Linked DNA regions of Schizosaccharomyces pombe. The protein of the gene in region 1 interacts with the protein of each later gene in a pairwise test. Each region holds a gene or a part of one and is shown in the gene's direction. Other genes may lie near its edges. The genes, in order: rpl3202 and nap2.

The links.
Region 2: the proteins of rpl3202 (region 1) and nap2 interact in a two-hybrid assay, tested with the Schizosaccharomyces pombe proteins (2 studies listed by BioGRID).

The regions. Positions count from the first base shown.
Region 1 is NC_003424.3:3,414,888-3,417,979, reverse strand, and holds rpl3202 (60S ribosomal protein eL32), read left to right. Parts: upstream 1-1,923; 5' UTR 1,924-1,938; coding exon 1,939-2,322; 3' UTR 2,323-2,572; downstream 2,573-3,092. Other genes in the region: protein hob2, read right to left, coding at 1-1,258.
Region 2 is NC_003423.3:2,983,754-2,987,940, reverse strand, and holds nap2 (nucleosome assembly protein Nap2), read left to right. Parts: upstream 1-2,041; 5' UTR 2,042-2,092; coding exon 2,093-3,232; 3' UTR 3,233-3,434; downstream 3,435-4,187. Other genes in the region: UV excision repair protein rhp23, read right to left, coding at 1-754, 796-868, 909-977.

The DNA.
Region 1 (3,092 bases):
TAGCATCACGAGCGTACTCGGCCAATGCTGAAGTCAGACACGTTATAGTTACCAAAGGAATATTAAGGAGCACGTGTGGTGAATGGCCAGGAGTGATACTTTCGACGTTGAAAGACAAAGCAGAGGCTAAAATTTGATGAACACATGCCTCTACGGGGAAAAACATTCTGTGGGAAGGATTCTTTTTGTTCAGTAAAATCAAATTCAGTCCAAAATCACTACCATTTAAGATATAGGTGGCTCCACATCCCGTTACATTTCTCTTCCAAAGCTTCAATGTACCGATCTGGATTTGAGCTTCCTGTAACTTTAATAAGGCCGCTTCAACATTATCCTTCATCACATGAACTTTTCCAGAGGAGGAGGAGGAGGAAGAATGATTTCCTCCGGAAGAATTTGAATTTAACAAATGCTCAAAAAGTGGAGTATCTAGATCTATATATAACACACCCACTTTGATGGAAGAACGAAGACGCAGAATCGTGTCAGGAACGTTTGATTTATCTAAAGAGTAATAGGTTTGTAAGCTTAAGTCCAAATAATCGGTAATCTGTTGACTGCTCTGCCGGCGGTCAATGTAAACCAGGTTTGCCAAGCGAATGCTACAAATTACGCAGGAGGATACAAGTTCGGGATCAGACGGATTTTCATATCCAACGACATTATTGGTTTCAGGACGCATTTCCATCGAAAGACTGCCCAACTCGAATGTTCCTACAGAGGGAAATGTCAATTGAGATTCTTGGATACTAATGTGAAGCCATTTCATCCAAGATTTGTGAAGAAACTGAATCCATTTTTGCTCCACATTGCGAAGTAAGTTAGACATGTAAACGGCATGACAAAATTTCTCCTCCGTTTTTTCTTCCTCACGCTTTGCTTTAAACACCAATCGAGATCTTTGGTTCTCATTCTTACCAGCCGATTGTGCATCATTAGCACTGGAAAGTGATGGAGTATAAATCAAGCCTTTGGTTACAATGCGCAGTAAATAGGGCTTGGAAGTAGAAGGACGATGCAGACGAAGTGCCACATACGAGATGAAAACCGAGTCTCCATTACGGAACGTGTGTCGTAGGCCATACACGGAGAAGAATCCAAAATTTGTAAAGGGCCATCCCAGCACGTATGACAGTACAAAAAGAACCAAATGAAAAAGGAAACCTGTCGCTATCACCACCCAAACGAATGAAGTGTTTTGCGAGGACGACCACATCGTTGATGGATTAAGCAAGGAAAAAGGAAACAACGGGTTCATCAAGTATGTAAACACATAGAGATTACTATAAGTTTGTCGTTTTTCCTTTAATGAAAAGGTAAGGAAATTGCAGAAACGGAGAGGAGGGAGGAGAAAGGAAACTGTGTAAAATAAAGCTGGTGTAACGAAGAAATCCAACTGAGCGGGAAGAGGCGGGAAGGTACACGCTATGTCAGTGATCAGCGAGAGCGGTAGTCGCTTGACTAAACAAGTTTAGGGATTAACGGCCACGTGGATCGGAAATTGAAGTCGCTTGAGGAAACCGTTAAATATTATATCGATATGTAGCGCATACATTTTTAAGTTTATTATCAAAGTAGAGGGATGTGTGCGTTATTTTTCAATTTGTTAAGTATGTTTTGCGTATCTTACAAAAAGCTCGGTATTTAAAGGTAGTGAAACAATTTCGCGTTACGGAGGAAACATTGAAGAAAAGCAATCAGTTTGATATGCAAAGCTAAATACGGGATATTACAGAAATGAAAATGAAGAATGATTAGTTTTATAATGTTATTGATCATTTAAATAGAGATATTATTAACTTCTTTTTCAACATGTCAAATCTGGGAACTATAGCGCAAAAAATGAAAACTCAGCTACCATCCCCATAAAAAGCAGTCACGTTCGTTCCAAAACACACTCACAACACAAGTGCTAACTTTTCCACCCACACAACAGAAATGGCTGCTGTCAATATCATCAAGAAGCGCACCAAGCCCTTCAAGCGCCATCAGTCTGACCGCTTCAAGCGTGTTGGAGAATCATGGAGAAAGCCCAGAGGTATTGATAGTTGTGTTCGTCGTCGTTTCCGTGGCACCATTTCCATGCCCAAGATTGGTTATGGAAATAACAAGAAGACCAGATACTGCATGCCTAATGGATTGAAGGCTTTCCTAGTCCGTAACGTTTCAGATGTTGAGCTCTTGTTGATGCATAACAAGACTTATGCTGCTGAGATTGCTGGTAACGTCTCTGCTCGTAAGCGTGTTGAAATTGTTGAAAAGGCTCGTGCTCTCGGTGTAAAGGTCACCAATGCCGGTGCTAAGGTTCGCTCTCAGGAGTAAATTAGAATCACGACTTAGTACAGTTAATGAAAGTACTTTGGTATTGGAAAAAAACTCTTTGTATAATCGTTGATAACTTTTAGTTTATTAAGCGAAATTTCCCTTTCACAGTTTAATTTAAAAAGTTTCTCACTTTTAAAAAAAATGGTTAAACGTGACGCAGTCGTTTTCATTTAGCTTTTCTGCATTCGATAAGATGAACGAAGAGTTCTGAAACAGATCATTTGGCTCTCAAACCGTTTAAACGTATATCATTAATATTTTATTTAATTGAGAACTATTCTTATATTTCGTTCAAACACATCAAATATGTATTCAAACGCATCTACTCGGGACAAATTTTTTCAGATCTGTTTAAGCTTATCTCTGCAAATGTATATCTAGACTATTCGAACATGAAGCTGTCTACTTTAACTTATAACTTCAAACCTCATCTTGTCCATTTAAACCTTCAACTTCAAACTTTTTTCTTTTCATCCTTGGTTACATTGTATATTTTTTAACGTTGTCTTTGGTTTTGATTTAAAGTACCAAAGATCAATTAGAAAGTGTTTCAGTGGATGACAACATTTCATTTTTCAAAAACTTTACATATTTTAGCGCTGATCTGAGCTGGAGGACGCTGGATTTGCAGGTTTTTTGGATTCCTACATAATTTTTTCGATAAATGTTTTGCCATCGAGCACTCTTATATCCTAATCCATTAAACTGGTTTGTTCTTGCTTGACATAAATTCTCTTTTTTATTACTCAAAACTGCTTTACTAAGCA
Region 2 (4,187 bases), on another chromosome or scaffold:
AATAATTGCAAAAATGCTTCAGGATTTTGCGTAATAGCTTGAGCCAATGCAGGATCTCCCTGCCCAATTTGTTGCAATATAGTTTCCAACATCTGTGGATTTTGTTGAACAATTTGTCTTAGCTGTTGAAATTGAGGAATGCTACGAAGGAAGCCTAGAGGGTCATCACCAACGGTATTAGAAGGTTGTTCTTGATTTTCATTTTCTGATAAAGCAGCTTGTTCAAAAAGATTCGCTGGCTGGCCAGTGGAAGTAGGAGCAAGGGCTTCGCTTTGCTGTTGCTGAGCAGCAAGGGCTGCAGCACTCTCTTCTCTCTGTCGATTGAGAATGTCTTCGGGAATACCAGTTAATAAGTATTCCACTGCCCGATCAGGGTTGTTAAAAGCGGCACGCATGGCTCTTTCAACTTCGCTGCGTTCGTATCCCATTTCTACCATATTTTCGACAGCAACATTTCGTTGAGCACCAACTGCCAATGTGTTGGCGTCTATTGGTGCTTCACTAGTGGCAGTAGTATCTGGGTTTGAAGGGGCAGCAGCAGCAACAGTTTGTGTAGTAGAGGTAGATTCCGCCACGGTAGAAGAAGGAGCTTCAACTTTCTTTTCAGGTACGGAAGCCGGAGGATTGGGGGCAGGACTGGCAGCTGATTTCGGAGTAGAGGTGGAAGTTTTGGGTCGTGAAACCATGCATACAATGAAATCCTGTTCTTTTATATTGTATTCGCCAACAGTTTTGTCATCAGCAAGGATTCGACCTATAAATTAGTATTTTACATATTAAAATTATGTTATATACCTGAGTAAATTAACTTTTGACGTTCGACTTCATAATTCTGTTGCGTTTGAATTTTTTCTTTTAATTCTGAAATCTGTTTACGTTAGAAAAATAATATGCCACAATTATCATACTTTGGTATCTGCAGAAACATCAGAAATAACAAATTTCTGCTGCTGTAGATTTTTGAATGTCAAATTCATTTTCAAAGCAAATTTGGCGTAGTGGGTAAATGTATAGTAATGAAAACCTCTTTGAAAAAACGTTGCATCAGAGAATAATTGTCAAGGTAGCAAACAAACACCATACACAAGTAACATTATTTGGTATCATCGCATTGTTTATCATAAAATGTGAATGAAAAATCTAAAAAGCAAAACAGTTTGGTTTATTTGAACCTAAAATTTAATGTAAGAAAATATTTCATTTGTTTGAAAGTGTTGTGAGTGAAACATTTACCTCGTTTCCAAGTCCATTAGTACTCAATACAGTGTATTAGTTTATTCTTTATTCTTTAATTTACTATATATATATATATTTTTCTGTTGGATTATTCATTCTCATTTTCTATTTATTTACAGAACGATCGCTAATAAATTTATATATATTAATTATGATTTGTTTATTTAAGTTAGCAATGACCGTTACAATAGCAGATTTTTATTTACAAGTTTGACTTTTGAATTATGTTCCGATAGTTTTTCGCTCCTCCGTGGGCAACTAACTAGTAAACAAATGCTACAATAAGGTTGTTTAACTCATGAATATAGAAGTATATGATACGTAGAGTTGTTTATTAATCAGTATCCATATATATATATTTTTTATAGAATTTTCAACTAATAATTGGGATACGATACATATGTTAAACTAATATGAATAGCGTAGACACTTTGCTTAAACGAGATATATACATTTGTTTATTTCATTGATTTTTTTTTTAGCTATTTGGACAGCTACATCAGAATTTGAAAGCAGCGCCTTTGGTTTATACAATCCATTACCTTTGTCAGAGAAAGTATAAGGAAAGCGGAGAGAAAAAAGTCAACGTATATGTAAACTTCCGGATGCTTTCTAATTTTACATATTCTTCCAAATAAAACCCCAAATACTATCCCAAACTATGATAGCCGCTAAACACATAAATATATTTCATTAAAGACTCTCATACGAAAAATGCTGTAAACATATCATTAAAATATGCTAAGCTGCAATAACGAGTCAGGCCCAACATCTCTTTGGTAGACTTCACGAAGATCCACAGTCCAACAACGAAGCTTTACCAATTTAATTTAATCTCCGTTTGCATTATTAAAATATGTCTAAAGGTCCAGGAGATTTTAAGAAGTCTTGGAATGGGTTTGCTGCTCAAACGCCACAAAATACTCCATCTTCAGATGTACATCTTAGTAAGGCCGCATTAGAAAAAGCTAGACAAACCTTGCAATCACAACTGGAGGACAAATCAGCACATGATGAAGTTAGCGGGTTATTGCGCAACAATCCGGCCATGTTATCAATGATTGAGGGACGCCTTAGCTCGTTGGTTGGAAAGTCGTCGGGATATATAGAGAGCCTTGCGCCAGCAGTCCAAAATCGTATTACAGCATTGAAAGGCCTTCAAAAAGATTGTGATGCAATTCAATATGAATTTCGTCAAAAAATGTTAGATCTGGAAACAAAATACGAGAAAAAATATCAACCTATTTTCTCTAGAAGAGCCGAAATTATCAAGGGTGTTTCTGAACCAGTGGACGACGAATTAGATCACGAGGAAGAAATATTTCAAAATAATCTTCCAGATCCTAAGGGAATTCCCGAATTTTGGCTGACTTGTCTTCATAATGTTTTCTTGGTTGGCGAAATGATAACACCAGAAGATGAAAATGTCTTGCGATCACTCAGCGACATTCGTTTTACCAACCTTTCGGGAGATGTTCATGGTTACAAACTAGAATTCGAATTTGACTCAAATGATTACTTTACAAACAAGATTTTAACGAAAACTTATTACTATAAAGATGATTTAAGTCCTTCGGGTGAGTTTTTGTATGATCATGCTGAGGGTGATAAGATTAATTGGATCAAGCCTGAAAAAAATTTAACGGTTAGAGTGGAGACAAAAAAACAACGTAACCGTAAAACAAATCAAACTAGATTGGTCCGTACTACGGTCCCTAATGACAGTTTTTTCAACTTTTTCTCACCTCCTCAGTTGGACGATGATGAATCTGATGATGGTTTGGATGACAAAACAGAGCTTTTAGAACTCGACTATCAATTGGGAGAAGTCTTTAAAGATCAAATCATACCCTTGGCAATTGACTGTTTCTTAGAAGAAGGTGACTTGAGCGATTTTAACCAAATGGATGAAGAAGACTCTGAAGACGCATATACTGATGAGGAGGATCTGTCTTCAGATGACGAAGAAATTTTGAGTAGCGAAATTAGTGATTGATATTTATATTGTGTTCGTTAGATTATGAGTAAGTTCAATGTGAGCAAAAATGAGAAATTGACGCTGAATGATAATTTCGCTTATAGTTTGGTAAGTTTATTGTGGCTTAAAAAATTAAAATGTTGATTTACGTCGTAGTATCCTATAAAATATTTAATAAGCGGATCTAAGTTAGGATTTGTCTTTAAAATTTCAATTTGTTTTCTTGTCTTTTTAAATTTTGAATTTTTTTTTCCAATGCAGGTATAAAAAATATACTAAGTAATTTTTTATCATTCTGTGAGTATATTCTACTTACATGGTTCCTTTTTTAATAGCTAGTATTAGGTTAGTACGCGCATTATTTGAAGCTGTGGTGTTATTTATTAGCATTTGCTTTTCTAAAATGATAATGCGGACAGCCAGCAAAAAGTAAGCGGCTATTACTATAACTATCTGCAATAGCTTTTTCTATTTATTTTATACGTCAAAGCTAGATCTGTTCGTACATTAATTAACAATCTTTAAGTGCATTGTTAGCTCACACCGAGTTTATATGATAAGGTATAAGAACTAGTACTAGGTTGGAAGAACTACAACTAATAACGGTTCTGACAATAAATCACTACCTCTTGTAACTCTAAGTTTAGTTACTTCGATTGTCAAAACGTAATTATTATATGAACACAAGTAGAGATGTCTATTCATTCTCTTCACCAATCTTTCAAAAGAATTATATTGAATACCTCTAATTTGTTGCTGAGACCTAAAACAATTGCTTTTCAAACAGCAGGAACCCATCTTTTGCTACATATGTTTACCTTACTAATGAGAAGTTATGAGCTGCAAATAATAACACTGCGATGCTACTAATGTCATTAAGTTAGCTTTAGCGTTGTTTACCTTCGTTAACTAGAGGTTTTACAGATTGTTTCGAACTCGTAAAAATTTTTAGCGTTGCAGAATTGTGTTCGTA